Arabidopsis thaliana: one gene and its partners. The protein of the gene in region 1 interacts with the protein of each later gene in a pairwise test. Each region holds a gene or a part of one and is shown in the gene's direction. Other genes may lie near its edges.

Evidence for each region.
Region 2: the proteins of AT3G07090 (region 1) and AT2G30160 interact in a protein complementation assay, tested with the Arabidopsis thaliana proteins (one large-scale study listed by BioGRID).
Region 3: the proteins of AT3G07090 (region 1) and AT1G43080 interact in a protein complementation assay, tested with the Arabidopsis thaliana proteins (one large-scale study listed by BioGRID).
Region 4: the proteins of AT3G07090 (region 1) and AT3G19120 interact in a two-hybrid assay, tested with the Arabidopsis thaliana proteins (one large-scale study listed by BioGRID).

The regions. Positions count from the first base shown.
Region 1 is NC_003074.8:2,240,260-2,248,451, reverse strand, and holds AT3G07090 (PPPDE putative thiol peptidase family protein), read left to right. Parts: upstream 1-3,623; 5' UTR 3,624-3,695; exon of another isoform or gene 3,696-3,855; intron 3,856-3,946; 5' UTR 3,947-3,975; coding exon 3,976-3,984; intron 3,985-4,077; coding exon 4,078-4,175; intron 4,176-4,520; coding exon 4,521-4,837; intron 4,838-4,925; coding exon 4,926-5,299; 3' UTR 5,300-5,454; downstream 5,455-8,192. Other genes in the region: ERMO2 (Sec23/Sec24 protein transport family protein), read left to right, coding at 226-333, 420-623, 747-978, 1,089-1,238, 1,342-1,498, 1,588-1,715, 1,785-2,107, 2,193-2,381 and 1 more; AT3G07080 (EamA-like transporter family), read right to left, coding at 5,518-5,840, 6,005-6,425, 6,520-7,092.
Region 2 is NC_003071.7:12,874,216-12,882,598, forward strand, and holds AT2G30160 (Mitochondrial substrate carrier family protein), read left to right. Parts: upstream 1-3,583; 5' UTR 3,584-3,800; coding exon 3,801-4,589; intron 4,590-4,955; coding exon 4,956-5,162; 3' UTR 5,163-5,446; downstream 5,447-8,383. Other genes in the region: AT2G30150 (UDP-Glycosyltransferase superfamily protein), read left to right, coding at 443-935, 1,030-1,907; PBCP (Protein phosphatase 2C family protein), read right to left, coding at 5,587-5,639, 5,733-5,781, 5,859-5,941, 6,012-6,135, 6,213-6,310, 6,394-6,473, 6,563-6,715, 6,806-6,885 and 2 more.
Region 3 is NC_003070.9:16,212,169-16,220,355, reverse strand, and holds AT1G43080 (Pectin lyase-like superfamily protein), read left to right. Parts: upstream 1-4,527; coding exon 4,528-4,671; intron 4,672-4,986; coding exon 4,987-5,298; intron 5,299-5,510; coding exon 5,511-6,035; intron 6,036-6,127; coding exon 6,128-6,361; downstream 6,362-8,187. Other genes in the region: AT1G43090 (Pectin lyase-like superfamily protein), read left to right, coding at 1,206-1,349, 1,665-1,976, 2,189-2,713, 2,806-3,159.
Region 4 is NC_003074.8:6,606,878-6,615,085, reverse strand, and holds AT3G19120 (PIF / Ping-Pong family of plant transposase), read left to right. Parts: upstream 1-3,947; 5' UTR 3,948-4,067; coding exon 4,068-5,408; 3' UTR 5,409-5,736; downstream 5,737-8,208. Other genes in the region: DNF (RING/U-box superfamily protein), read left to right, coding at 1-176; RBP47B (RNA-binding protein 47B), read left to right, coding at 1,263-1,661, 2,072-2,555, 2,732-2,814, 2,898-3,028, 3,142-3,235, 3,572-3,688; AT3G19100 (Protein kinase superfamily protein), read right to left, coding at 6,106-6,249, 6,342-6,509, 6,604-6,666, 6,746-6,853, 6,961-7,073, 7,181-7,556, 7,659-7,767, 7,874-7,915 and 1 more.

The DNA.
Region 1 (8,192 bases):
AGCATGATCGATTTGAATATCCCACTTTGTAATTTTGCTGGAAATGGGCTTTACTGTTCCATAATTAGTAAGTGCTAATTCTTGTGTGATTTTATCTGAATATACTACGTATTAATGGATCATCTAGACTGTTCTTGTTTCTTTGTCTAGCTTAGTGGCTCTCTCTCTTCATATGGAAGCTTTCGTATAATATAGATCTTACACTGACCTTTTGCTCCTTCGCAGGTTGTTGCTCAAACGATTAAGTCTTGTTTGGATAACCTGCCTGGTTATCCAAGAACTCAAATTGGATTTATTACTTATGACAGCACGTTACATTTTTACAACATGAAGGTAAGAGAATTGTAAACTCACAGGAACTTTTGTTTTGAAATTCTTTAGCCTCCATAATTTTTTTTTTGTGGACTTTGGCAATGCAGTCATCTTTGAGCCAGCCGCAGATGATGGTTGTATCAGATCTAGATGATATCTTTGTCCCATTGCCAGACGATCTGCTTGTAAATCTATCTGAATCTAGAACTGTGGTGGACGCCTTTTTGGACAGTCTACCTTTGATGTTTCAAGATAATTTCAATGTGGAATCAGCTTTTGGCCCAGCCCTCAGAGCGGCGTTTATGGTTATGGTTAGTTACCATCCTGACATATCAAGATAATATCATATAATTCATTTGATGTTGAGTGTCCTATTTAGATCCTCATCTGAAATGTGGATCAGTTTGTTGACTCTGTTTCTCTCCCTATTTCAGAACCAACTTGGGGGCAAGTTACTAATTTTCCAGAACTCATTACCTTCTCTTGGTGCTGGGAGGTTAAAGTTGCGGGGAGATGATCCTCGTGTCTATGGAACTGACAAAGAATATGCATTAAGGGTAGCTGAAGATCCCTTCTATAAACAAATGGCTGCTGATTGTACCAAGTTCCAGATAGGAATTAATGTTTATGCATTCAGTGATAAGTACACTGATATTGCCTCATTAGGTATGTGAACGTTGAGGTTATCAGTTGATGTTTTTTATTTCAGCTGTTTGGAGTCATGGGTGATAGTTAAGTTTATCAGCCTGTAATTACAATTCTTTGGTTTCTTGAAGGGACTCTGGCAAAATACACTGGAGGACAGGTGTACTATTATCCAGGTTTCCAATCATCTGTTCATGGAGATAAGTTAAGACACGAGCTTGCTAGAGACCTTACAAGGGAAACTGCGTGGGAGGCGGTTATGCGAATAAGATGTGGAAAAGGTTTAATAGTTTATGATAATATATTCGTTTTTGCTACCTGCTATGTCAATATTTGCTAATGCATTGGTGTGCTACTTGTGATCTTATATATTTTTGCATGCAGGAATTCGTTTCTCGTCCTACCATGGGAACTTCATGCTAAGGTCTACTGACCTGCTTGCTCTTCCTGCTGTTGACTGTGACAAAGCGTATGCAATGCAGCTATCTCTTGAGGAGACTTTGCTAACATCCCAGACTGTGTATTTCCAAGTGGCTTTGCTGTATCCTTGAATAGTTGATATTTTAAACATACTTGAGTTTAAACATACAACACATCATTTAGCTTTTAGTAATCCTTAACAGAACTAAGATATACCGCCTCTTGTGGAGAGAGACGTATAAGGGTACACACATCTGTTGCACCAGTGGTTACAGATCTTGGGGAGATGTATAGACAAGCAGACACTGGTTCCATTGTGTCTTTATATGCTAGATTAGGTAAGCTATATTCAAATTTTTTTCATATGCTACTTTTGATACTATTTAATGACAATTTAAATTCTGCAGCAATTGAGAAATCTTTGTCCGCAAAATTGGATGATGCACGGAATGCAATACAGCAAAAGATTGTTAAAGCCCTCAAAGAATATCGTAATCTTCACGCGGTGCAGCATCGCTTGGGGTCCAGATTAGTATACCCAGAGTCTCTGAAGTTCTTGCCATTGTACGGATTGGCAATTACTAAGTCCACTCCTCTTCTAGGTGGACCTGCTGATACTTCTCTTGATGAGCGCTGTGCTGCAGGCTTCACCATGATGGCTCTGCCTGTCAAAAAGCTATTGAAGCTTTTGTATCCCAATTTATTCCGTGTTGACGAATGGCTCTTAAAGGTTTGTGTATTTTTATCTCAATGTCCATTATCAAACATCAGTGTTCAAGAAATAGTAAATAATTTGTGAATTCACATGCTTGCAGCCATCAGCAGCCCACGATGACTTTAAAGACGTATTAAGGAGATTGCCGCTGGCTGCAGAGAGTTTGGATTCTAGAGGCCTTTACATATATGATGATGGTTTTCGATTAGTTTTGTGGTTTGGCCGGATGCTTTCACCTGACATTGCTAAAAATCTTCTTGGGGTTGACTTTGCAGCAGACCTCTCAAGGGTATGTATTTTTATCCACATATATCCTTACATATGAATATATGAACAGGCGGTACATTCGATGATGTATATGCATCATTAGTGTTTTTCAAGAATTTGAAACATGATAATATGTGTGAAACCCTTGTCTTTCTTCGTGTTGGGTCTCTTAGGTTACCTTTCAAGAGCAAGAGAATGGGATGTCAAAGAAGCTAATGAGGTTGGTAAAGAAACTGAGGGAGAGTGATCCTTCATATCACCCCATGTGTTTTCTAGTGAGACAAGGAGAACAACCCCGAGAAGGCTTCCTTCTCCTCAGAAATCTCATTGAGGACCAGATGGGCGGTTCGAGTGGTTATGTCGATTGGATTCTACAACTTCACCGCCAAGTTCAACAAAACTAAGATAGCTCACAATGGTAAGGAAAAAACCATCATAATACTTCCAATAACATGCTTAAAGTACCACATCATGTTCGACGCATCTTATGAAGCGGTTTTACTTTCAGACAACTCGGGTGCTAGGATGCCACCTCTTTGTAACCATTGAAGAACTCTTGAGCTCAAAAATCTTCTACTTAAGCAGGATCATGGCGGCCTTCTTCCTTGGGCCATAATGTGTTGTTTTGGATAAAGAAGTGCTACTTTTTGATTTTTCTTCATTTGTTTTTCTATATAGACCTTTTTTCTCAAGATTAGGCTTTTATTTGCCTAACCAGAATGGTTATCTCCGTAAGATTAGTCGTTTTTTAAATCTTTTGTTGCCTTTTTTTTTTGTCCTCATTCGATTTTTTGTTGATGTGCGTCTGTTCTAGATTTATTTTGGGAGTTGCAGTTCATGAATCTGTCCTAATTAGGGTTATTAACAAGAAGATGCTACTGTTAAAATTTTAAAATATTTTTATGAATAAATAATGTTGTGAAAACCTTAGATTTGGATGAAACGCATCGTTGGTATACATCGGTAAAGTTCATACATAAACAATACGGTGATTGATCGCTGTAAGACCAACTGTTCCTGCAATCACAAATAGATAAATTAGGATTTCAATTTTTAACTGCTGTAATTCTGATTCAAAGATTCTGGTCGGTTGAACCGGGACGGGGAAAATAGACGTGGCAATGTCTTATTGGATGGTACTTTCTAGAAGGTTACAGAATAAAAGCGGTCGTCGGTATAGGGGTCAAAGTAGCTTAAACGACGTCGTAGAGGAATCTTCGAATCTCCCAATAGCTTGCCTTTATAACAAACCTCTCTGAACCATTGCTATCCAAGAAATCTTTCAGATTTGCGCATATCGACAATTTTCCGAGCGGCCAGTTTACGTATTTTGTTTGTACGTGATCAAATCTCCCTCGCTTTCTCGCTATCAATTTTATCAATTATGTGTTCCCGATTGTTTCTAGATTTGGATTTTCTATTTGCGGATACTAGTTCTTTTTTGTTCGGAATCGATTATGGATTTGGTCTTAAGATTTGCGGAAATTCTTTTGTAGGTCTGATATAGTTTGTTCGGAATCATTCTTGTTGCTCAGGTCTTAGATCATTGCGATTGTAAATTTTGATTTTGATTTTTTTTTTCTTCAGGTAGTTAACGTGTTTCAAGGACTTTGACAATGGCTGAGGTATGATTCTCTTTTTTTCATTTCTGGTTCGTAGTTAATTGCGTTGCCTCGTTGTTAGTTTGATTGAAATTGGTGATATATGTGATATGGCAGGAAGCGCATAAGGTAACATTGAATGTCTATGATTTAAGCCAAGGCTTGGCACGCCAGCTCTCACAATCACTCCTGGGAAAGGTTATTGAAGGTGTATGGTGAGTCAAATCTCTGTCACATGTTCGTATTTGATCTGTTGTGTTGTATATGCCAAATTTGTTTTGAACATTTGTCCTGTGTAGTGCCATTCATAGGGTTTGATATTATTGTTTTAGCTGTTGAACATGGTTGCAGTTAACCCAATGTAAAAGATATTGGCATGACTGGTTGGTGTATGTAAATGTGTCTAAGCTTCTGCTTTTAATATCAACCGAGTGTGGTTTTCCTTGAGAAATATGAATTAACCTGCTTATTGTTTAGGTGTTTTGCTTTTTACTCTTTTAGGATATTACTTTGATGTTAAACCAGGTAGATAACATGTGAGTTATGTATCCTTTTTCCAGGCATACAGGAATAGTTGTCTATGGGAATGAGTACTTTTTTGGAGGAGGGATACAACATTTACCAGTTGGAAGAACTCCATATGGAACACCAATTCGAACGATAGAGTTGGGTCTATCACATGTGCCTAAAGATGTATTCGAGATGTACTTGGAAGAAATCAGTCCTCGTTACACTGCTGAATCCTACAATTTACTTACTCACAACTGCAACAACTTCAGCAACGAGGTCGCTCAGTTTTTGGTGGGTAAAGGGATTCCTGACTACATTCTCCAGCTTCCTAATGATGTTCTAAACAGTCCCATGGGTGGTCTTATAAGTAAGTCGCTGATAACTTGCGACACCTTCCTTGAACCTCTTCTTTCTCGGCTACATTATTGTTCTAATTTCATATCCCCATTTTGCAGTGCCTATGTTGCAAGGCCTCGAAACAACTCTAAAGGCTGGTGCTGTTCCTCAAGTTCCACAGTTTAGGCCACAGCCACAACCTTTTGGAGCTTTTAGTAAAGATGATGGCCCACAAATTGTGATAGCTCCTAAGCTCGAGGCAGCAGAAACCTCAACTGCAACTGAGAAAGTGCCACCTGTTATTCAACCATCAGCTAGTAAAGAGAAGGTCAAGGACGACCCGTTGGGTGATGCTAGGGCCAAGATTCAGGAAGAGATTACAAGCGAATTTGCAGCTCTAATGGCACAAGGCACATTACGAGCAAGTGAAGCAGCTGCTATGGCGACAAAAAGAGTCATGCAAAAGTACGGACATCTCAATGTAAACGCTTAGTGCAATAACAGAGAGATGAAACATTTTATTTTTACTGTCTTGAAACTAAGTCCAGAATCTTGAACGATTTCATTACACTATTGCCTTCAGCTGTATTTCGTGTATTATGTTCAACGATCTACAAATTAATTATCATAAAAGAGGAAAAGAGCAGTAAACAAGAGAAAAAAAAAAGATTTTACAAGAATTGTGGCTTTTGAATTTGGAACAATTTAGGCTTATACTACAGTCAGTGAAGAATCTACTCTTATGCTATCTGGCACAATCGGAGGAGGATCTGTGAACGAAGTCCCAGGTTCTAACTCAATAGCAGTCTCTTTGGATTTGCAAAACATCTCTGAGGGAATATTAATCCCTGCAAAGCCAACCATAACAGCTGCAGCACCAATGTAGTCGGTGAAGCTTGGTTTGTTCCCTGATAAGCTGTCTACAATGGCTGCCAATGGGACCTGAATAGTTAGCCCAGCTGTAGCTACAGTGGTTGTTGTCAATAGTACTGCCTTTGCCCACAGATAGTCACTAAGCACATTATCTAACAAACCTGCAGTTGTGATGAAACACACATTAGTCTTTCAAATCGGCATTCCTACATCAATCCTAATTTACTACTTGTGCCATCAATTCCCATTGATATGAGAAAATGTGATTTATTGACCAATAGCTTCAAGGAGACAATAGCGGAAATAAGGGATGGTGTTTGCATACCTTTGCCAACAACTAGGCCAAATTGTTTCAAGGTAAGTGCGTTGAAGCGTTCTCGCTTTGTGAAGTTGAGTATTAGAGCAGGAGGAAGGAAAATGAAGAAATTGAAGAGACCAAGAAACCCGAGGAACTGAGCCATACTGACCCGGCCGTTTCTTTCATCATCATCCGGAAGCTTTTTGCGTATAAGAGTGATGTAGACAGCATACAGCGCCGCTGAGACCAGCGAAAGAATATCTCCCAAAAGAGGGTTCTTAGCTACTGCATTTGACTTGGACTCTGAGTCACCCATACTTACAATTATAGTCCCAGACATACAAAGAAGAACGCTGAAGAGTTTCAACCATGTGAACTTCTCACCCAAGAATATTAGTGAAACAAGAAAGGTGAAAAGGCTTGATGCACTGCTTAATATGGTATTTGACTGCAAACACACAAAAATGAAAAAAAAACTTCAGCAAAACATTTAGTAGATTCAGAATAAGCAACAAGATGATGGGTGTCCAATATGTTCTTACCGTAACTGTTGTGTACTTGAGAGAGACATTAAATGTAAGCTGCGCCAAAAACCAAAACGGACAAATCACAAGGCTAACTTTAGCAACTCGCATCCTTGTCCAACGACCCTTCTCATCTAATCCTTTATTAGAAACTCCACTAGCTCCATCACTAACATTGACACTAGCATCAATCTCAAGCTCTATATTTTCCAATCCAGATTCAATCCCATTACCACCCTCACTAATCTCTTGCTCTCTCACAACAAGCCCTGAACTCTCAGTAGCATCTGATTTCACACCAGAAACATCTTTTCCAAGCAAAACAGCCTTCTCTGATTCGACCAGTTCCATTAAATGCGACCTTTTGCTTCTCCAGAACAATAAACTCCCATATGCATCTTCCAGATATCGACCAATCTCAAAAAGGGGAAGATAAACAACGAACAATGAATTACAAATGAAAGTGATCAAGAACGGAGAAACACCAGCTTCCACCACAGACTGGACTACAAAACTAGCCGCAATCCAAATCGTGGCAACGGCAAATAGGTATATCAGCCCTAACACCCATCTCCATAACTTTGTTGACATACCTCTTCGAATCTCAATTACAAAACACAGAACTTGAGCTCACCGATCTCACTGATTAAGATCAATCATACATTTTAACACGAATGCTTCAACACCCATGAATCAAAGATCTCTCTTGCAACGTAAAATTTCTCAAGGATAACAAAAAGCGTAAACGAGAAACGATCGGAACAAACCAATTGATCGGAAAAACAGGACACTACCTTCACAGCGACAGAAATCTAGATCGGCGTCAAATTGTTCAACCAATGGCGATTCAAAAGCGAAATCAGATATTTATTTACCAAAGAAAAAACAAAAAGGTATCGAATTCAGATAAACAGCGCCAATGAGAGAGCGAGAGAGAAGAGAGATTGGCGGATGTGAGTATGAATATGGGCTTTATTATCGGCCCAATATCGTTAAAAACATTTGTAGCCCAATTTTGTTTAATACACAAGACGAAAGAAACCCTATAACCTGAATGTCGTATTAAAGGACTTTCTTGTTCTTCTATTTAGACTTCTTGTAGTTTTGCTGAGTATTAGTCAAGACTCAAGAGACACGAACTCTCTCTAGTCTCTTCAATATTGATCATGCAGCCTCGTCAAAACATAGATCCGGCAAATGATTGGAACAGTCTTCGACAGGCTCTAGACATACAAGGAACCCAGTTCGACGAAACTTGATTAATTTATTACCAACAGTCAACAGAGCTAAAGATAAAGATACTAGAGTCAATTCCTGGAGTAGATATTGCTCGGTGTTCTTGCGTTGTACTGGCTTCAGAGTTTCGGAATCTGGCTTCATGTACTATATTGTGGAAGCAAATGTGCTTGGAAGATTTTGCTAATTCTGTGATTGAACAAACTGAATATATATATATTATTTTTTTGTTGGTTGGAAGCCTACGTTTGTTGAATGAATTCATGAAGATATGTATAGATTTATGTGTTGGTAAGCTATGGTATTGCTATTTAGCCCCTCTCTGTACAACCAGAGATAAAATTATGAATTATTTTGACTAAACACAAAATTAATTAATTGTACAAAACAACTATCAATTTATAATGTTAAGCTCGAGACCAAGAATAAGAACAGATTGAATTCTCGAGCTATGA
Region 2 (8,383 bases), on another chromosome or scaffold:
ATTAAACCTAACAGCACTGAAGAAAACACATTGTTATCAAAAAATTTACAACTATGTAGATTTTTTTTGTCAACTAGATTGTTATTCTGTTAGTTATAAACAGAATGATAACAATCTCCCTAATTTGTCTTAATTAAAAAAAAAAAAAAAATTAGCCATGTGTTGTTTTCTTAAACAGTCTGTTTCTTGGGATTAGGTTTTGTTTCTTTAAAAAGCACACCGGTCACTTGAGTGTCTAAAAACGTTATAAAAAACAACAAATGTGATAATCAGCAAAAACAGCTTGAAAGAGAAGTAGACACAATCATTAACATTATGGGTAATGGCCTAAACAATTGGACCACGTTTGTTGTAAAAGCTATCCTCTGCACTCTGCAGCTTTCTCAGTCCTCACTTCTCTCACCCACAAAGTCACAGTAACCAGAAACACGTTCCACATCCTATGAATCCAATCAAACCTCAGCCACTCGGAGTCCGCCACGTGGTGGCCATGCCTTGGCCAGGAAGAGGCCACATCAACCCAATGTTAAACCTCTGCAAAAGCCTCGTCCGGCGAGACCCAAACCTCACCGTCACATTCGTCGTCACCGAAGAATGGCTCGGGTTCATCGGGTCCGACCCGAAACCTAACCGGATCCATTTCGCCACTCTCCCCAACATCATTCCCTCCGAGCTCGTCCGAGCCAACGACTTCATCGCCTTCATCGACGCCGTCCTCACCAGATTAGAAGAGCCGTTCGAACAGCTACTTGACCGTCTAAACTCTCCTCCCACCGCAATCATCGCCGATACTTACATCATTTGGGCAGTACGTGTAGGCACAAAAAGGAATATTCCGGTGGCTTCTTTCTGGACTACGTCAGCCACGATTCTCTCCCTCTTCATTAACTCCGATCTTCTCGCAAGTCACGGCCATTTTCCGATCGAACCATCAGGTAGTTACAAAGTTCCCATTTTTACTGATCAAAACCGTAAAGTTCAATACTTTCATCCATAATTAGTGATTTCTGAATCCGGGTTTGTTTCCAGAATCAAAACTAGACGAGATTGTTGATTACATCCCCGGTTTATCTCCGACAAGACTCAGTGACTTACAGATCTTACACGGCTATAGTCATCAAGTCTTCAATATATTCAAAAAGTCTTTCGGTGAGCTTTATAAAGCTAAGTATCTTCTCTTCCCTTCTGCTTATGAGCTCGAACCAAAAGCCATTGACTTTTTCACTTCCAAGTTTGATTTCCCGGTTTACTCCACTGGTCCGTTAATACCCTTGGAAGAACTATCCGTTGGAAATGAGAATAGAGAACTTGATTACTTTAAGTGGCTTGATGAGCAACCTGAAAGCTCTGTTCTTTACATATCTCAAGGGAGTTTTCTTTCAGTCTCCGAAGCTCAGATGGAGGAGATTGTTGTAGGAGTTAGAGAGGCTGGAGTTAAGTTCTTTTGGGTGGCTCGTGGGGGTGAGTTAAAGCTTAAGGAGGCTCTTGAAGGTAGCTTGGGTGTTGTGGTGAGCTGGTGTGATCAGCTACGTGTTTTGTGTCATGCGGCTATAGGCGGGTTTTGGACGCATTGCGGGTATAACTCGACATTGGAAGGGATATGTTCGGGAGTACCGTTGCTTACATTTCCTGTTTTTTGGGATCAGTTTCTGAATGCTAAGATGATTGTTGAGGAGTGGAGAGTTGGAATGGGGATCGAGAGGAAGAAGCAGATGGAGTTGTTGATAGTGAGTGATGAGATCAAGGAATTGGTAAAAAGGTTTATGGATGGAGAGAGTGAAGAAGGGAAAGAGATGAGAAGAAGGACTTGTGATCTCAGTGAGATATGTCGTGGAGCGGTTGCGAAAGGTGGTTCTTCTGATGCTAACATCGATGCTTTCATTAAAGATATTACTAAGATCGTGTGAGTTCTATTGTTGTTAATGATTCAAGTCTATATTAGTATTTGTATAAGTTTGTTAAAGATTCAAACTTTGTAGAGATTTAAGATTGTTTGTAAAACTGTTATTTATAAGTTCATTTGTTAGACTCTTTGGTAGAGCTTAATCTCGTGTGTGCCTAATTTTTGTTTGACTTTGGAAATGAATTGTGAGGAGACAAATATAGAAAATAATTTATGAAATGAATTGATTTTGGTAAAGCTTACTGGCTGATTGGTTACACTATAGCTGTAGATTATTTGCTGTAGAATATTGGATGTAAGTGTAAGCTGTAGCTGTAGATTTGTAAAGATTTTATTCAGTTTGTTAGAGAAAATACTCCAATTCTGCATAAAATTCTAAAATCTGATCTTAATAGGAATGATTTTCACACATCTCATGTTTTATCTACCAATATTTTAACATATTTTGCAGTAAATTTAATATTTTACTTGATATCTAATGCTTTAGGACAATTTTTTTTTTACTTTATTTTTGATTTGAGTTCTTCGTTTTTAAGAATTATCGGTTTATAAATAACTAGATTCTGACCCGCACGTATACGTGCGGGGTTTCATATTTTTAAAAATGTATTGGAATATATTTTTAGTGAAAGATATTATAGTGTATAAATTATAATATGCATAAAAAGTGTAAAGTGTTATTTATGATAAAATAGCTATTTTTTGTAATTTATATTATTTATATTTTATTTGTATTTTGCATAGTAAATAGATTGTTAGATTTGTTTCGATTTGTAGAATAATATAGAGATATTTAGAAAATTTGTGTATTTTTGTTAGTTTGATGTATATATAAATTGATTGTTTTTGTTTGAAATTTGATCAATTAGATGATATAATGTAAAATTTTCTCCGTGGTACACCTTTGGTCGATTTTTTTGTAACTAAAAATTCAAATTTTAAGATATAGTTATTTTGTAAATATTGTTTATTTTGTTTAATGTTTAAGAATATATAATTATGTTATAATTATTAATTCTAAAATTTCACTCGTAGATTATCGTCCTTTATTAATATCAACTCAAACTCATCCCACCATATAATTTCATTCCGTAAAATGAAAAATTATTTTGTTATTTTAAATATTGTTATTGTAATATAATAAAAAAATCGAGGGATTGACATGTGGTACATCTTGGATTAATATATTTAAAAATAATTTGTATATTTAAAAATCGAGGGATTGGGTAATTATGAATATATTGATTTTAAAGTCGATTTTTTAAAAGAACAAAATCCAAGATATTTATTTTGTTGTAGTGATTGTTAATTTACTAAACTACCCATGCAAAAATTCATTTACTTAATTTTAAACTACCCTTACAATGTTGTAGTTCATACAATACTTCTCAATTAATAATATAGATAACACTTATTAGTTTTCAAGGGATAAATTTTTTTCCACTTGTGTACATTTAAATTCTACCAAAGTTTTAAAAATTTACGATGACAAAAAAATAATATTCGTATTCATAATATAAACATAATCTAATAAGTTTTTTTGGTTAGGTTCATATCGCTTAAATTAAAGTACGATTTAAAAAAAAAAAAAAAGTAAAAAAGTACGTTTTTGTTTTGGTAAAAAACACTAAAGAGGCAAAAACGTAAAAAGGCAAAAAATATATTTTTACTTGGGGAAAAAGATGTTAAAGCCCACAAGACAAGGCAGAGGTTTCTCCCATGCTTTGTCTTTAGTTTAACCGCCGCATCCTCTCTCTCTGGTCGGAGAAATCTCCAGATTTGGTCATTTCTCCAATCTTCTCGGAACCCTAATTTAACCAAACCTCTCCTCCTTCAGATTCATCTTCCTCCTAATCTCCCTAAAAGCTCAAACCTTTCTCTCAATCAATTCTAAACAATGGCAACAGAAGCAACAACCAAATTCCCAGAATCCGATCTCCGTCCAATCCCACAACCACCGGATTTTCATCCAGCAATCATCGTTCCAGCTCAAAACACAACTCTTAAATTCTGGCAACTAATGGTCGCCGGTTCAATCGCTGGCTCAGTCGAACACATGGCTATGTTTCCAGTAGATACAGTCAAAACCCATATGCAAGCTCTTCGTTCATGTCCGATTAAACCAATCGGAATCCGTCAAGCTTTCCGTTCAATTATCAAAACCGATGGACCTTCTGCTTTATATAGAGGTATTTGGGCTATGGGACTTGGTGCTGGACCAGCTCACGCTGTTTATTTCTCATTCTATGAAGTCTCTAAGAAGTTTTTATCCGGTGGAAACCCTAATAACTCTGCTGCACACGCTATTTCCGGTGTTTTCGCTACTATATCTAGTGATGCTGTGTTTACTCCAATGGATATGGTTAAGCAAAGGTTGCAAATTGGGAATGGAACTTATAAAGGAGTTTGGGATTGTATCAAGAGAGTAACGCGTGAGGAAGGGTTTGGTGCTTTTTACGCTTCGTATAGAACTACTGTGTTGATGAATGCTCCGTTTACCGCTGTGCATTTCACTACTTATGAGGCGGTTAAGAGAGGTTTGAGGGAGATGTTGCCTGAGCATGCTGTTGGAGCAGAGGATGAGGAAGGTTGGTTGATTTATGCTACTGCTGGAGCTGCGGCTGGTGGGTTAGCGGCTGCTGTAACTACTCCGCTTGATGTTGTTAAGACGCAGTTGCAATGTCAGGTGATTGAAATATCTCTAAAGCTACTGACTTTTAAGTATCTGATAGCTAATGTGGTTATAGATTGGCCAAGCTACTTTAAGTAGTTGTCTCTTGATCCTATAGATCACTTGAATGAAGAAAGATATCTTCTTTCTTCTCTTTGGATATTTTGTGATTTCACGAGTATGATTTTATAGGTAACATGTAGATTGCATCAAGCATTGTTAGAACTATGGTCATAAAACTTAATATTACTGAATTTACATGTGAAAGTCGCATAGATAATGTTTCTATATTTGTGGTTTAGAATACTTGGTCAATAGCTATTTCATAGGATTTGGGTTGTTTTGTTTGTTCTGAGAAGTTTGTTTGTGGTGATGTTTCAGGGTGTGTGTGGTTGTGACCGTTTCAAGAGCAGTTCAATAAGCGATGTGTTCCGTACAATAGTGAAGAAAGACGGTTATAGAGGACTTGCTAGAGGATGGCTACCAAGAATGCTCTTCCATGCTCCAGCAGCTGCGATTTGCTGGTCCACTTATGAAACAGTCAAATCTTTCTTTCAAGATCTCAATGGTGAAGCAAACGCAGCTTGAAAAGACACAAACATACATGCGTTTGGCATAATTTACTTGCCTGATTCAGGTCATTGATTCTTCATAGAGCTAGCTACTGGTTGGTTAGTATTAACACTAGCTCTTAGAGAAGATCTCTGTTTGTATAATTTATTTGTTTTCTTCACGCAATAATGTTATCAGATTAGAGTTACAACAACCCCAAGGCCTTTTTTCTGGTTTGCATTGATAGAGAAATTTTGTACTTTTATTTGTTTTAATGAGAAAGATACTATAAAGAGATAGATGAGCTTAAAGAGTGTCCATTCACAAGGTCAATGATAAAGATTCGATTCTTATTGTTTGAACTTTGAAATACCATTTATCAATTTCTGTGAAGAACAAGTTTCTTACAAGGACTTGTACAAAAAGAATAAAGAGAAGATCTTATCATGAACAGAGTGATTCATGAGCTAACAACTTTGGCAACGATCACAGTGACATCATCAAGCTTCCCTCCTGCAATTTTCAGAACCAGAGATCTCAACTAAGAAACTACTCTTGTTTAGTATAATATGTCAGGATAATGCATCAACATTGTTGTTTATTTACCTGTAAGCTTCTTTCCTAGTACCTTCTTCCAGAGAGGAACATCAAACCCCTGCACATATACGTTGATTCAGATATACTTTGCGTGAACTGGTAAAATTCATTCTTAGATCAAGTTAAAAATCTTACCTTGGCTCTTGCTTCTAATGCATATGGAGACTCAAACTCTGTATCTCTTGAATGGCTACTCGCCACTTCAGCTAATAACCTTGCTGTAATGGTTATACCAAAAAACATGTAACTTACTAAAAATCAAGAGAGATGGTATATACATATACATACATGACTCTGCAACATCTGTATGCTTGGTCACTATAGAAACGATCTCATGATCAAACACATTATCGAAAAGTCCGTCTGAACCCATCACGATCACGTCTCCCTTCTGTACTTCCACTATGCTAAACTGCTTGAAATGCAAAAAAAATGATACAAAGGTACAATACTAGCACAAATCATGAAGAGTGGTAAGGATTTATTTACCGATGCATCTAGATAAGTTTGAGCAGACCCCTCAGAGCTTAGTTGGTAAGGACAGTCAAAATAGTGCTCTTGTGGAGCAGTGGCAAAAATAATCTGACCTGAAAATGAGAATGAAAGAAGAAGATCTTTGTCAAAGGCTGAACATGAAAACAATCTAGCATCTTAGGTTACAGTGTAGTACCTTCCCGAAGAAGCTTAAGTCCACAGTCACCAACATTGCCTATTTTGAGAATACCCACTTCCTCAAGCATAGCTAGAATACTGCTTTCATCAATAACCGGGACATCAAGCTATCCAAAAAGGGAACAAAAACCAATCTTTGAAGAGAATAACAATCAAATCTCACTCACATTGTGGCAGAACCTCTAGAAGTAGTTGCGGTATGAGCTTTGTCAATGAGAAAACCAGGATCATATCTGACCTCTTGGTCATCAACTAAACGAGAAGCGTTAGCCATAAGTTCTTTAGAGAACAAGGAAGGATCAACATCTTGTTCAGCCCAACTGAGACAGAAAAAAATATAAACTTTATCAACATTAAGATAAACCCACAAAGAAACTCAAAAGTTAGCATAACCAAAAGCTAAAGCTTACCCGGAGACACCATCTGCAACAGCCATGACTCCACCTCTATAACTACTTACAAAGAAAGCATCTTCACCACCTTTCTCTACCTATATAATTTCGACACTAGATGTCGATTTTAATTGCATAAATATTCTCTAAGCAAATCCAAATTCATTACATCCAAAGAAGAAAAACAGAGACTTTGGTCTGGTGTTACCTTATCTGGATGAGGGATTGCGTGAATTCCGACAGATAAAGAGAGTTCAGGCCTAAAGGAAAATGCAAACATATTTTGACAAATGAGTTCTCAGTTTCGAACAACGTAAACTCGAAATAGTACAAGAGAGAGCAGAGACCGAAGTGGTTGGATTTCTGATGGAGCACAGCGACAGAGGAAGTCAACGCGACTAGGGTTTGGATGTGAGAGACGAAGCGATGGTATTGCGTGAGGAACCATCATTCTCGTCACTGGAATCGCCATTTCCTGCAATGGCTTGCTCTCTCGTTCTCTTTCAATCCTGTGGTGGTGCGTACTTTGTGTGTGAAGGTTGTTTAATTTTAGAGATAATTATTAACTAGAAGAGATAGAATCAATAAGCACCAGTGGTCTAGTGGTAGAATAGTACCCTGCCACGGTACAGACCCGGGTTCGATTCCCGGCTGGTGCACTAAGCTATGATGATATTGGCTTAAGCATTGGGTGGGTCCTTTGCATTTTTCTGAATTATCAGTTGAGATATGCCACACCTCTGAGCTCTTTTTTTTTTCCCTTATGTAAACTAAATTTTTCAAGTAACATTTTTTGTATTATCACTCAATTTCTCTTACTATATTCCATACTATTTCTGTTCTTGAAATAAAGCATCTCGGCCAAAAAAAGGTAAAACCAACGTTTCTAATTAATTTTCTTACATCCAAATCACTCGATCATTTATGTGACATACTCAAAGAAAGATAAGTTTTTTCGCATCCAAAAAATTGATATTGTCAATAATATTCAATAAATGATCCATGAATTTGGATGAAAATCTTCAACTCTTATAAAAACTCTTAACACTTCAAATAGGTCTCTTAAGGAAATTTACTCTAATTCTTTTAATTAACAATTGTTTCTATATTTTGTTTTATAGCTTTTTTATTATTTAATTATTGAAAGTCCTTGTTTTAATTGTAAGAACTCATGAGTTTGTCCATTTAAAATACCACAAAGCTCAACACGTAACTCATATTCTTATAATTATATTATTTAGAATAAACTAAATGTAACTCATAAAAAACCATGGTCTACCAACTTATTGGGTATAGAACTAGTTTCAGTGGAGAGTGTCCGAGTCAAAATGAGAATCCCAAAAGAAGAATGCTACAAAGTAAGTTGTTTAAAATATAACATGAACCCAACTTCCACCGGTTAGTAACGTTCATGTTTGTCACTGTCCATTTTATGAACTTCTCATTGGAACTGTAACTATATTCCTGAAAGTCATAAGAGAAAGATCAAGTACTTAATTTACAATAGATGATACAACACATATACATGTTGAAACATTTGAAAAACAAGAATTTTGACATGTATAAACTGATTCATCTTGTATCATTAGGAACTGG
Region 3 (8,187 bases), on another chromosome or scaffold:
GGTTTGTTCGGTTTATTGTAACTTTTATTAAATAATTTTAATTTAAATGTTTATATAATTCTAATAAACAATTGAAAAAGTATTATCTTTTTCTTCTCATACTTACTTATAAAAATATGTTTAATTAAAAACTATTTATAACTGTTTTTAATTTAAATGTGCTATTAGAAAATTTCCCTATATTTAAATTATTTATTGATGTCATAAGTTTTTGTGAATTAAAAATCAAAGCTCGAGCTTCCTCCATTACCCAAAATATTGGCAAATAGCATGACACAATAATGTATATCATGTGTTTAGGCAACGCAAAGTTCACAAAATGCCGTCGTACATCGCAAGGAGAATTTTACACCGGAAGGGCAACGACTTCCATCACCTACTTACTAAATCGCCAAGAAGGACCTTGACTGACAGATCAGAGAGACATCGAGATTGCCGAAAAAGATGAAGAAGAAGAATATAATTAAGAAACATTTTGATTGTTCACATAGAAACAATTTGAAATTTTTATTATCACCTTTGTATTTTCTTGTACTTTTCGTTTAGAGACCGCAATTTGTTTTTTATGATATTAAGAAAGTGAAAATTTTCATTAATTATTTAATCTAGTAAGTAATTATATATTCATTTTACTAGCATGTTGTGATTTATGAATAAAAAACATCAAGTAGAGTAATGGAGATATGCAATTTTAGGCATGCAAATGCGTGTAGCAATTTAATCGTTATATCTTATGAAAATTTTGAATAAATACAAGTTTACAAAATAATGTAAATACTAAAGTTTAGTATCCATCAAAATAAAAATAAAATCCACAAAGAAATCATTTCGAAAACATTTTGGTTTTATGCAATTTAAATTAAAACCCATTAAAAAAAGAAACAAATTATAGGTAATCTTATTGGCACATTTCCCAAAATTAAGATTCTGTTTTAATGAAGAGATTAAAAACTAAACAATATACACTCAAAAAATCATCATAACAGTATATTAACCAATCACGATCATTATAAAGAAGCCGCCCATATTTAGTAGTTAACTGATAACAATAATCAAGTGCTTTTAACAGTCTGTTGAGACATGTTAACTCTATATAAATAGATAAAATGTGCGAACACTTCTCATTGTGTCTTACACTATAAGAACAACTATTATTAAACAGCACCTTTTTGTTATATCTCCATAGACCCAAACAAAAGAATAAGATGGTCTCCATCGCTTCTACGTTTAAAGCTTTGTGTTTGTCTTTCTTGTTCATTGTTGTTGCAAGTCGTCCGACTATCAGACCAAAGGTTTTCAACGTCCGACGCTATGGTTCTAGACCAGACGGAAAAACTGATAATGCCAATGTATGTACACAATAACTTTTCTAATAAATGTTAATAGTTATTTATTTAGTTTTGTTGATTCCCAATTTATATTGGCTTCCAAATACATTGAAATAAGCTCAACTCAATATCAAAATACATTTAAATAATCTAATAATATATGTTGAAAAAACATTTTGATATGATAGTATATATAAATCTTCTTGACTTTCTACATAACAATATATGGATTGGTATTATATTAACCAATTAAATTTAACTAAATCTTTTATCAACTTCTATGGATTTTTTTGTTTAATAATTAACCTATCTTATTCTTAACATAAACAAAATTAGGCATTCACAAGTGTATGGAAACATGCATGCACAAGGATAAGTGGAAGTAGTAAAATCTACGTACCGAAAGGAACATTCTACCTCGGTGGTGTAGAGTTTGTGGGTCCATGCAAAAATCCTATTGAATTTGTCATCGATGGAACTTTATTGGCTCCTGCAAACCCTAGGGACATTAAGCAGGACACATGGATCAACTTCCGGTACATCAACAATCTCTCTATCTCCGGTTCCGGTACACTTGACGGCCAAGGAAAATACTCTTGGCCACTCAATGACTGCCACAAAAACACCAATTGTCCTAAACTAGCTATGGTACCATTTTTTCTTACGCTTTTCTTTTTATAATATATTTCTTCTTTGAGAAAATATGATTATATATTATTTACAATGAAACTGTATTATACAATGGTAACAAGTATATTTTGATCATTTATTTTTGAACCATATATATTTATTATACACAAATGAATTGAAGTATCTACTCTTTGTTTCTAGTGATATGATAAAATTTGAAATGTTTACAGACTATGGGATTTGCATTCGTGAACAACTCAAGAATCAAAGACATAACATCACTCAACAGCAAAATGGGACACTTTAACTTCTTCTCTGTCCATCGCTTCAACATTACCGGCGTCACTATAACAGCTCCCGGTGATAGCCCAAATACTGACGGTATCAAAATGGGTTCTTGTAGCAACATTCACATCTCAAACACAAACATCGGTACCGGAGATGATTGTATTGCCATTCTCTCTGGGACCACTAACCTTGATATCTCTAACGTCAAGTGTGGTCCTGGACATGGGATCAGTGTTGGAAGCTTAGGGAAGAACAAAGACGAGAAAGACGTAAAGCACTTAACGGTAAGAGACACAGTTTTCAACGGCACAAGCGATGGTATTCGGATCAAGACTTGGGAATCTTCGGCTTCAAAACTCGTAGTTTCTAACTTCATATACGAGAATATTCAGATGATTGACGTTGGAAAACCGATCAACATTGATCAGAAGTATTGCCCTCACCCACCTTGTGAACATGAAAAAAAGGTTAACATTATATGCATGAACAAGCTTGGTTATTTTTTTCTTCAATTACAATGAAATATAAAACAAAAGACAACTTGTGTTTCCTTGTTCAGGGTAAGTCTCACGTTCAGATCCAAGACATTAAGTTAAAAAACATATATGGAACGTCGAATAACATAGTGGCAGTGAATCTACAATGTAGCAAGAGCTTTCCGTGCAAGAATGTTGAACTAATTGATATTAACCTAAAGCATACTGGACTCGAGAAAGGTCATTCCACAGCGATGTGCGAGAATGTTGACGGTTCTGTACGTGGTAAGAATGGTTCCTCAACATTGTCTAGATTGACTCAATGGTCCATCGAAAAAATAACCTTTTGGGTTATACATGATATTTTTAGTTACATATTATTGCCTAATTTTTGTATATATTTTATGTTTTATGTTCTTGTTTATATGATATCATGATCACACATACAAATTCTTAATGAATAGTTCATTCTACAACAAAACAAATCTAAGAAAGAACGGTTAAATGTTTAACTTCCAATAATTTTACCATCATACTTAGTAACAATTACACTTTACTAGAATCAAACTAATAAGGAAAATCTCAATAAATATCTTTTAAGGTTTGTTCGGTTTATTGTAACTTTTATTAAATAATTTTAATTTAAATGTTTATATAATTCTAATAAACAATTGAAAAACTATTATCTTTTTCTTCTCATACTTACTTATAAAAATATGTTTAATTAAAAACTATTTATAAGTGTTTTTAATTTAAATGTGCTATTAGAAAATTTCCCTATATTTAAATTATTTATTGATGTCATAAGTTTTTGTGAATTAAAAATCAAAGCTCGAGCCTCCTCCATTACCCAAAATATTGGCAAATAGCATGACACAATAATGTATATCATGTGTTTAGGCAACGCAAAGTTCACAAAATGCCGTCGTACATCGCAAGGAGAATTTTACACCGGAAGGGCAACGACTTCCATCACCTACTTACTAAATCGCCAAGAAGGACCTTGACTGACAGATCAGAGAGACATCGAGATTGCCGAAAAAGATGAAGAAGAAGAATATAATTAAGAAACATTTTGATTGTTCACATAGAAACAATTTGAAATTTTTATTATCACCTTTGTATTTTCTTGTACTTTTCGTTTAGAGACCGCAATTTGTTTTTTATGATATTAAGAAAGTGAAAATTTTCATTAATTATTTAATCTAGTAAGTAATTATATATTCATTTTACTAGCATGTTGTGATTTATGAATAAAAAACATCAAGTAGAGTAATGGAGATATGCAATTTTAGGCATGCAAATGCGTGTAGCAATTTAATCGTTATATCTTATGAAAATTTTGAATAAATACAAGTTTACAAAATAATGTAAATACTAAAGTTTAGTATCCATCAAAATAAAAATAAAATCCACAAAGAAATCATTTCGAAAACATTTTGGTTTTATGCAATTTAAATTAAAACCCATTAAAAAAAGAAACAAATTATAGGTAATCTTATTGGCACATTTCCCAAAATTAAGATTCTGTTTTAATGAAGAGATTAAAAACTAAACAATATACACTCAAAAAATCATCATAACAGTATATTAACCAATCACGATCATTATAAAGAAGCCGCCCATATTTAGTAGTTAACTGATAACAATAATCAAGTGCTTTTAACAGTCTGTTGAGACATGTTAACTCTATATAAATAGATAAAATGTGCGAACACTTCTCATTGTGTCTTACACTATAAGAACAACTATTATTAAACAGCACCTTTTTGTTATATCTCCATATACCCAAACAAAAGAATAAGATGGTCTCCATCGCTTCTACGTTTAAAGCTTTGTGTTTGTCTTTCTTGTTCATTGCTGTTGCAAGTCGTCCGACTATCAGACCAAAGGTTTTCAACGTCCGACGCTATGGTTCTAGACCAGACGGAAAAACTGATAATGCCAATGTATGTACACAATAACTTTTCTAATCAATGTTAATAGTTATTTATTTAGTTTTGTTGATTCCCAATTTATATTGGCTTCCAAATACATTGAAATAAGCTCAACTCAATATCAAAATACATTTAAATAATCTAATAATATATGTTGAAAAAACATTTTGATATGATAGTATATATAAATCTTCTTGACTTTCTACATAACAATATATGGATTGGTATTATATTAACCAATTAAATTTAACTAAATCTTTTATCAACTTCTATGGATTTTTTTGTTTAATAATTAACCTATCTTATTCTTAACATATACAAAATTAGGCATTCACAAGTGTATGGAAACGTGCATGCACAAGGATAAGTGGAAGTAGTAAAATCTACGTACCGAAAGGAACATTCTATCTCGGTGGTGTAGAGTTTGTGGGTCCATGCAAAAATCCTATTGAATTTGTCATCGATGGAACTTTATTGGCTCCTGCAAACCCTAGGGACATTAAGCAGGACACATGGATCAACTTCCGGTACATCAACAATCTCTCTATCTCCGGTTCCGGTACACTTGACGGCCAAGGAAAATACTCTTGGCCACTCAATGACTGCCACAAAAACACTAATTGTCCTAAACTAGCTATGGTACCGTTTCTTCTTAAGCTTTTCTTTTTATAATATATTTCTTGTTTGAGAAAATATGATTATATATTGTTTACATTGAAACTGTATTATACAATGGTAACAAGTATATTTTGATCATTTATTTTTTAACCATATATATTTATTATATACAAATGAATTGAAGTATCTACTCTTTGTTTCTAGTGATATGATAAAATTTGAAATGTTTACAGACTATGGGATTTGCATTCGTGAACAACTCAAGAATCAAAGACATAACATCACTCAACAGCAAAATGGGACACTTTAACTTCTTCTCTGTCCATCGCTTCAACATTACCGGCGTCACTATAACAGCTCCCGGTGATAGCCCAAATACTGACGGTATCAAAATGGGTTCTTGTAGCAACATTCACATCTCAAACACAAACATCGGTACCGGAGATGATTGTATTGCCATTCTCTCTGGGACCACTAACCTTGATATCTCTAACATCAAGTGTGGTCCTGGACATGGGATCAGTGTTGGAAGCTTAGGGAAGAACAAAGACGAGAAAGACGTAAAGCACTTAACGGTAAGAGACACAGTTTTCAACGGCACAAGCGATGGTATTCGGATCAAGACTTGGGAATCTTCGGCTTCAAAAATCGTAGTTTCTAACTTCATATACGAGAATATTCAGATGATTGACGTTGGAAAACCGATCAACATTGATCAGAAGTATTGCCCTCACCCACCTTGTGAACATGAAAAAAAGGTTAACATTATATGCATGAACAAGCTTGGTTATTTTTTTCTTCAATCACAATGAAATATAAAACAAAAGACAACTTGTGTTTCCTTGTTCAGGGTGAGTCTCACGTTCAGATCCAAGACATTAAGTTAAAAAACATATATGGAACGTCGAATAACATAGTGGCAGTGAATCTACAATGTAGCAAGAGCTTTCCGTGCAAGAATGTTGAACTAATTGATATTAACCTAAAGCATACTGGACTCGAGAAAGGTCATTCCACAGCGATGTGCGAGAATGTTGACGGTTCTGTACGTAGTAAGATGGTTCCTCAACATTGTCTAGATTGACTCAATGGTCCATCGAAAAAATAACCTTTTGAGTTATACATGATATTTTTAGTTACATATTATTGCCTAATTTTTGTATATATTTTATGTTTTATGTTCTTGTTTATATGATATCATGATCACACATACAAATTCTTAATGAATAGTTCTTTCTACAACAAAACAAATCTACGACAGAACGGTTAAATTTTTAACTTCTGAATCCATTAGCTAACTAACAAACTAAATCAAGCTATCCCTAGACAATAGATTCAAAACCAGATCAATCCACTTTCATGACAATGATCCTCATAACTTTATCACTTCCTAATCTCAACTTTCATTGATGAAACATAATAAAGCAGGCTTTAAACACCAATCTATTAAAATCAATAAGCAGTCTAAACATCCAATGTCTTGGGCTAGAGTCTACAAATCTCTGAAATTAGTTGGTTCAGACATTTCATCAAACACTTATTAGGTGGAGAAAGTCTGAAATCAATTTTCAATTGATCAGAAAGAAAATAGCATTAAGAACTCCTAAAACAGAAGGGAATCATGCATATAAACACTTAGCTAGCTAAAGAACAGAGGAATCCACCTAAACCTAACCCATCCTCAAGAACTCTGAAGAAGACTACTCAAGATCAATGAAGAACATCATAGAACAAAATTCAGAAAAAATCATAAAACCCAGAAATCATTATAAACTTAGCAAATGATAGATCTCAATAAGATAAACAAGTTTGCAGAAGAAATGAAATTCAGATTCTCAACACAACAACCAGAAAATGCAAAAAAAATCTAAGAACCCTAATATCCAGCGAACAAATCAAAGATATTTTGGATAAAAATATAAGAGGTCTATTTATAGGCAATACTAGGATGCCCTAATTGGGAAAAAGACAAAATGGGAAAGTCGGCGTTGCACCACTCGGGTCTTGGTCGAGTAGAAAAGTCGAGTAGCCTCCTTTGGTCACATCACTCGGCTTTAGGCCGAGTACCTTCAATTGAGCAGCTTCCCTTCTTCCTCATGTGCACCACTCGAGCTCCTGCCGAGTAGATTGGCCGAGTATAGTTCTTCCTTCTCCCTTGTGTGCTCCACTCGATCTCCAGCCGATTAGATATCCCGAGTATACTCCATGTCCTTCCTTGGATTGCACAAACTCGAGCTAGTCCACTCCTTGTGATAGAAACGCCCAAATTGAATCCAAAAGTACCTGATTCACATGTAAAACACTCCAAATGCAAGTATGCTATGCAATGCAATGCAAAATGTGAAAAGGAAGGAAAATGAACTAAGAATGTATGAAAAGAGACATGAAACTAAGCTAAATGCATGAAAAACAAGGGCTGAAAATGGTTAAAACCTAGTGTTATTAACACCCCCAAACTTAGCTCTTTGCTTTTCCTCAAGCAACAAATAGAACTAGGCTAGGAGTGAGGTTCGAAGGTGGGGATTTAGAACCAAAATATGCATGTAAAATAAATGGTCTCAATGTCCATGTTGGTAGTTCTAGAGTGCTAGGTTGAATGATCTCTACTTAAAAACTTTAGCCATCTTCTTTACAACACGACCTAACCATTAACTTAGTCTATTCAAGCATTCAAATCAGCATACTCCCTTTAACATTCATTAAGCAAGAACCATGGATCATACTATACAATCCATATTAAACTCATTTGACTAAGGGTAAAGGGTCAAGAGACAAAAATGGTCCTTTAAAAGAATAAGCTTTAGTAACAAGGGATCTCTCAAGAATGATTAAGCTTTAGTAGAATGCTAAAGGTAAGTCCCAAATTATGCATACAAAGATAAGATCTCATCTACCCAAAGTATAATCAAT
Region 4 (8,208 bases), 4.4 Mb from region 1:
CAAAGTTCATCGACGAAGACAAAGCCAGGGTTTTACCTAGTTGTAATCATTGCTTTCACTTTGATTTTACTGACACATGGCTTCATTCAGACTATACTTGCCCTAACTGCAGAAAGAACGTTGAAGAAATCCAAAATCACGAACTTTCTCTTAGTCCAAACCCTAATTCCGGTTAGGCATACAAGAAGATTTGAGGATGGTTGCATAGAGATGCAGTGGAACGAGATATAAAAATATGGTTTTTTCAAAACCTCTGTTTTAAACAGGTGTTGAGTATAAGGCCCATATCTAATTCTTTTTTTTTTTTGGATTCACTAGTCCTGACGTTCGGTTATCCAAACGACTATCGGTTCCATTCGTTTCGGTTATATAATTTAGTATTCATTCAACTAATTTAAAATTTTGGTTTGGTTTTGGTTCAGTTCTTTAAGTTTTATCATTTAGTATCCATTCAAATATTTTACTTTAGATATTTCAATTATTTTATGGATATTTTTCTTTTATTTTTGAATATTTTTATGATTTTATATATTCTCAAATATTTTTATTATTTAGTTTATAAATAACTTTTGTTTTGGATATATAATTGTATTTTATATCGGTTTGGTACCGATTCTAAAATATCTATTCTGTTTTTTTTCGAATCTTTGGTTTAATGTAATTTTTTTTTTTTTTTACTTTAGTTCCGGTTCGATACATCCGATTCGGTTAATTTACATACTTTTAAAATTTACTGTAGAACAGTAAAACGGCTCGGTTAATTTGCATAGGCCTAGAGTTTACTGTAGAACAGCTGACTCTTTCATGACAGTACAAAACGGTTAATCATATTATCACGTAAATATGTTTTTGTTTTTACCCAATGATTAAAAAGTCAGTTATATTTTAAAAACCCTAGAAGGTGAAATAATTAAATGTAAGTGGCTAAATGCGGTGGAATCAGAGCCGTCGATCTCAAAAAACAACACGGCTTAAGCACGTAAATGGGCCCCACGTTTCGGCCACTTCCCCAAGACCCATTGTTTCAGCCTTAAACCCATTAACTCACTTCTCTCTCTCTCTCTCCGCCTCCTTTTAAGACCAAATCTCTCTCTACCTCTATCTCTCTCTCCGCCATTACCAGAGCTCAACGAGCTCTCACTTTCTTTACGCACACTTGTTGGAACGAAATATATTCATAGAGAAGAAGAATCTCGAAACTCTTGAATCTAAAACAACTCGGAGACTCTGTTTTCCCTTTCCGGAGATCAGATCGGATCAAGATGCAGACAACCAACGGCTCAGATTCGACGTTGGCAACTTCCGGAGCCACACCGCCGAATCAACAAACCCCTCCTCCACCTCAGCAGTGGCAGCAGCAGCAACAGCAACAGCAACAGTGGATGGCTGCCATGCAATATCCACCAGCGGCGGCGATGATGATGATGCAGCAGCAACAGATGCTGATGTATCCTCATCAATATGTTCCGTATAATCAAGGTCCTTATCAGCAGCATCATCCTCAGCTTCACCAATACGGGTCTTATCAACAGCACCAGCACCAGCAACACAAGGCTATTGACCGTGGATCTGGAGATGATGTCAAGACTCTTTGGGTTGGTGATCTTCTTCATTGGATGGATGAGACTTATCTCCATTCTTGCTTTTCTCACACCGGCGAGGTATTATCTTGTTCATTGGTACTCTGTTTTGGATTTAGATTGTTACTTGTAAATATGGTTAAAAATTCATCCTTTTTGCAAATCATTGACATGTTCTTGTGTTTTGATTCATTGTTAAACCAAGTAGCTATTTTAAAAAACTAGTTAGTTGGATTAGATTAGATCCAATGGATATAGAAACAAATAGGGTAATGGAGAACAACTTTGACCTGAAAAGGACAGGACAAGTTCATATTTCGTTAGGCAAAAAGTACTCTTGTACCTTGCCACGTTTAGTTAAAACTTTTCTGGTATGAAAGAGAATGATTGCATAAGATTTTCACTTTTCATGAATAAACTTATATCCAGTTATACATGTGTTCTGTTTTGTTCTTTCTCTGAAGTTTCTTGTTTTTTTTTGTGATGAGCAGGTTTCTTCTGTGAAAGTTATACGTAACAAGCTCACTTCTCAATCAGAAGGGTATGGGTTTGTTGAGTTTCTTTCACGTGCTGCAGCTGAAGAAGTTCTTCAGAACTATAGTGGTTCAGTGATGCCAAACTCGGACCAACCCTTCCGTATAAACTGGGCATCTTTTAGTACTGGTGAAAAAAGAGCAGTGGAAAATGGTCCAGACCTATCTGTTTTTGTGGGAGACTTGTCTCCAGATGTCACTGACGTTTTATTGCATGAGACCTTTTCTGATAGATATCCTTCTGTCAAAAGCGCCAAAGTTGTGATTGATTCCAACACCGGCCGGTCCAAAGGTTATGGTTTTGTGAGGTTCGGTGATGAAAATGAGAGGTCAAGGGCTTTGACAGAAATGAATGGAGCTTACTGTTCGAACAGGCAAATGCGTGTAGGTATTGCAACTCCCAAAAGAGCGATTGCTAATCAGCAACAACATTCTTCACAAGGTTTCTTTTCATACTTCTCTCTGCAACTAGTTTTACCCTCTGATTCTTTCTATTTAAGTGTACTAGTTTTAAGCGAGAGGTGAGCCAGTTTTAATCCATAGGACTCTAGAGCTAACAACTTGTTGCATTCAACAAAGTTTTTGAACTATAAAGATTTTATGTTTTCATTGGAATAGCTGTGATTCTGGCTGGTGGACATGGATCAAATGGTTCCATGGGTTATGGCTCGCAGTCTGATGGCGAATCAACTAACGCAACAGTGAGTTGTCATATTTAGTTATATGTCAGCATCATTCAAGCTCTATATGTTCTTGCTGCTCATCTTAGGTTATTCTACTGCAGATATTTGTTGGCGGCATTGACCCTGATGTTATTGATGAAGACCTCAGACAACCTTTTTCCCAGTTTGGAGAGGTTGTTTCAGTGAAGATCCCAGTAGGGAAAGGATGTGGATTTGTCCAATTTGCTGACAGGTGCTGTCTTCATCTAGTTAGTAGTGTTGGCTTGGCAATCATATGATTGAGCAACCTGTAGGTGCTTATCTCATAGCGAGTAATTCAAAGCGACTTGCCTTTGGTTTTGACAGGAAGAGTGCTGAAGATGCTATCGAGAGTTTGAACGGGACAGTCATCGGCAAGAACACTGTCAGACTCTCCTGGGGACGAAGCCCAAACAAGCAGGTAAAATTTCACTTTGGAGTTGATGCATTCTATCAGTAGAAGAGTAAATTGAGTATTTTGCTAGGGTCAAACTTTGTGAATAGTTGTTTGTTTTGTTATTAAAAGTAAAGTCAGTGGTTGACAATAATAGCTGGTGGAATCTAGCACCTTCCCTTCGTTTTCTATTTTGACTTATGCAAGTGGGAGAATATCTAATACATGTCTCCATGTCCAACTTGTGTCACCAACCCTGAACATGGTCTTATGTCGACATGTTTTGGTCTAGGACTTAACCAAATTGGTTCTGCTGGCAATAGATTTCTTTTTAGTTCTCATAATGTGTTCAACTTGTGGCAGTGGAGAGGAGACTCAGGGCAGCAGTGGAATGGAGGATACTCACGAGGACATGGTTACAACAATGGAGGAGGATATGCTAACCACCACGACTCCAACAACTATCATGGGGAGAATTGAAGAGACTCATCAAGTGATCATCTTCATCATGGTTTCACATATCAAAGCTAAAACCTGTAGTCGAAAGAAGAATTTTGTTAGATGGATTTGATTTTGATAGACTTGTTGTTTGGAGGAGATTCAAAAATTTTGGTTACTGGTTTGTCTCAGACTAATATAAATGGTTGCAACTTGTTGGATCAAAATTCCGCTTACCTTCTACGAATTGCTTATAAGCCCAAAACTTTCTGAAATTAAACAAACAACCCCAAAACTTTAAAATTATATTTATTAACTCACATTAATTTTAAATTTTTAGCTATTAGCCCTTTCTCTCTCACTTCTTCAGTTTTTCTTCTACTCTCAACCTCTCCGGAGAGAAAAAAATCGGAGAGTGAAGATGGAAGAAGCTTTCATGGCGATGCTCTCACATCTTCTCCATCTCCAAAACTCATTAGATCCTACAAGCACTCTCTTCTCTTCCGCATCCACATCTTCACAGTCTTCAACCACACCTTCCTCCCTCCTCTCCACTTCCTCCGCCGCGCCTTTACTCTTCTTCACTCTCGCATCTCTCCTCTCCTTCCTCGCCGTCAACAGATCTTCAACCGAATCCTCATCTTCCTCAGAATCACCTTCCCCTTCCCCTCCTCCGCCTCTTGCCGACGGCGATTACTCCGTCGCTGCCTTCCGTGCCCTAACCACAGACCACATCTGGTCACTCGATGCGCCTCTCCGCGACGCTCGTTGGCGCTCATTGTACGGTCTTTCCTACCCAGTCTTCATCACCGTCGTCGACAAGCTCAAACCATTCATCACCGCTTCAAATCTCTCTCTCCCCGCCGATTACGCCGTCGCTATGGTCCTCTCTCGTCTCGCTCATGGCTGCTCAGCTAAAACCCTAGCTTCTCGCTACTCACTAGATCCATACCTCATCTCCAAGATCACAAACATGGTCACACGTCTCTTAGCCACCAAGCTATATCCAGAATTCATCAAAATCCCCGTCGGAAAACGGAGATTGATCGAAACGACTCAGGGATTCGAAGAACTCACCTCTCTCCCCAACATTTGCGGCGCCATTGATAGTACTCCGGTGAAGCTCAGACGCCGCACGAAACTAAACCCTAGAAACATTTACGGTTGCAAGTACGGATACGACGCCGTTTTGCTTCAGGTTGTTGCTGATCACAAGAAGATCTTTTGGGACGTTTGTGTGAAAGCTCCAGGTGGAGAAGACGACTCTTCTCATTTCAGAGATAGTCTTCTATATAAGAGGCTTACTTCAGGAGACATTGTTTGGGAGAAAGTTATCAATATTAGAGGTCACCATGTGAGACCATACATTGTTGGAGATTGGTGTTATCCTCTTCTCTCATTCCTGATGACTCCATTTTCACCAAATGGCTCTGGTACGCCACCGGAGAATCTATTCGATGGAATGTTGATGAAAGGAAGGTCAGTGGTGGTGGAAGCTATTGGATTGCTCAAGGCTAGATGGAAGATTCTTCAGAGTTTGAATGTTGGTGTGAACCATGCTCCTCAGACTATTGTGGCTTGTTGTGTGTTGCATAATCTTTGTCAGATTGCTAGAGAACCTGAACCGGAGATTTGGAAGGATCCAGATGAAGCTGGAACGCCTGCAAGAGTTTTGGAGAGTGAGAGGCAGTTTTACTATTACGGGGAGAGTTTGAGGCAAGCATTGGCAGAAGATTTACACCAGAGACTCTCCTCGAGGTAAAAGACATGAACAGATCTTGGTCAAAAAATGGAGCTTTCTATCTTTGTTATCATGTAAGAAGCAGATGCTTTCAAGTGTTTAGAACTTTAGATAGCATTGTAGATTCAATCCTCTTGAGAAGAAAGTTTGAGGATTCAGAAATGTTAAAAAGCTGACTTTGTTGCCTAGCCATCCCAACTGTCAGTTTTGTAACTTAGGAATGGGTTTATGGTTTGTTCTGTAACACCTTTTGAGAATGAAATGTATGACTTCTATTGATATGGATTATGGAATCTTGAGAAGCAAGTTTTTCCGAATTTGAAATATTAATAGCTCTCTGTTACTGTAAGTTTTGTGACTTAGGAATGGGTTTTTATGATTTGCTTTGTGGCACATTGTGAATGGAATCTGAATCTTTTTCCTGGAAAAAATGGAGACAGCCAAATGAAAAGAGAAAGGGATGTTCTTAATATCTGTCTTCCATGATTTGGAAGAACACGACTGTGGATTATCATCTTATTATACAACTCTCCAGGCCTGTCGGATTTTTCTGGATACTCTCTTTCTTTGTCGGAACTTAGCATTCTTTTTCTAACACTATAAACATAGGAATGGGTCCTGAAAAAAATTCCAATTCCCAACCCCAATCCACCCATTTGCTTCTTGCAGTTGTATGTTCTTCCTCTTTCGAATCCGTTATAACACCGAGTCACTTTCCTCATCGCGTTTTCGCTAAAGATTGTCGAGTCGAGACACCGTGCAGCAGTTTGACAAAACCCAAGAAACTCAGCTTCCCGTCAGTATGTCTTATCCAGTCATTTAGAATGGTATGAACCGGGATGGATGATCCAACACCAAGTTCCTACAAAACATTTATGTTCCCTTCGTTTAGGAATTAGCTGAATAAATTGTTAAGCATGACAGAAGCAAGTGTCGAATTTCTTATAAACTTACAGAAGCGAGTTCTTCGATGACGATAACTCGGTTTCCATTCATTTCAAATAGCTCATAAGCATGACGAATGCTCTGCTCCCAACAATCAAGAGACTCATGCTGATGAACGCTAATGGAAGCTGCACAAAACTCTTCAAAATCCATCCCTTTGTATTGAAGTCCATTTAACTGTCATTTCCCAACACCAAACTTTCGTTAACCAACCTTGGATTGTATCTTAAACAGATTAAGCAAAAGGACAAGAACAGAAAGGAGACAATACCAATGCAAGAAAGTCCGGGATCCGTGATTCCTTCATTGCTTCTGTTGCATTTGTCGCAAGTGCCTGTCCAACAGAAATAAATCTAGCTTTGAGCTGTTTGCTTTCTACCAGAGAGAGACAGAGAGGAAGAGAAGGCACATACCAGTCTGATGCTATCTAAAGTGATGAGGCCATTTTTGTTGGGTGCTAAGTGTGCAAACTGCGCTTTCAGATAAAGAAGTTCATCGGTAGTTAATGTCTTGGACAGAGCCTGGAGAGAATAAAAGAGTTAGCAAACTAGATACAAAGGTAATAAATATCAAACACATCCTTAAATGTTGTTTGGAAACAGTAAAAAAGGTTAGAAGCAAAATGTACCATCAAAGCAGCTTTGCGCAAAGACGAAGATCTCAAGTATGCTTTGATCTGCTTGAAGATCAGAATATCAAATGGGATATCTATTTTCTTATAACCCGCGATCCAAGGATGCACTGTAAAAACCGGAAAAAAACGTGGAGTAACTTCAACTGGTGATTCATGAAAAGCTAGAAACAGAAGATAAATATAGAAAGATGTGGATATTTTAGAGATTACTGACTCAAAGCTTGAGATGCAGTCATTCTTTTCCGAGGGTCCTTGTACAATAATCTCTTAACAAAATCTTTTGCCTCAAAGGATAACGAAGGCCAAGGAGGTTCATCAAAACTGGGATCAGCTTTTAGAACTGCTCTGAAAATTCCTGATTCAGTTCTTGCCCAAAAAGGACGGCTTCCACATAGGAGAATGTATGCTATGACTCCTATGCTCCATACATCCGCTTCTGTGGTATAAGATCTGTGTAGAACTTCAGGGGCTACGTAATATGCACTTCCCACTATATCATTTAGTCTTTCGTCTGGTCTGACAAAGTCCGATAAGCCAAAATCTATGACTTTCAACATAGAATTCTCCTCCTTGGAAGTGTACAAGAAGTTCTGAAACATGAAAGTGTTTCAAATGTGAGATTGGTATTCAACTAAGACAATATTTCTTTTGGGTTTTGAAAGGAAAAAGCAAAGACAAAAAGTGCGGTTCACCTCTGGTTTTAGATCTCGATGAACAACTCCTTGGAGATGACAGAAAGCTACGACGTTAAGGATCTGTATAAGCACTGCTTTTGCATCATCTTCAGAGTATTTTCCTCCCCTGTAAGAGAAGTAAATTTGAAATAGTTAGACAGCCAATAGAACATCTCTAAGAAGGATCTCTGACCATAAGTTAACAAATGTCATAACAATCTTTAAAAGCAGACCTTGCTAGTATCCTGTCAAGAAGTTCACCACCTCCACATAACCTGAAAGTTGAAAGAAAGTAAATGTTTATTCACAGCTAAACATTTTGAAGTAAGCCAAGTCGGGAAAATAAGAATCTGATAGCTCTCCTAGTAGATTCAACATGACACAGGAATATATAAGCACATGATTGTCTTACTCCATAACGATGTAAACGTTGGCATTGTCCTCGAACGCATCATAGAATTGTACCAAATTTTGATGTCCAGATAACGCCCGCAGTATTTTCACTTCTCTTCTCACATCCTCTATAGATATTGCAGATGTCATCTGCCAAACCAAAGCTGATGAGAAA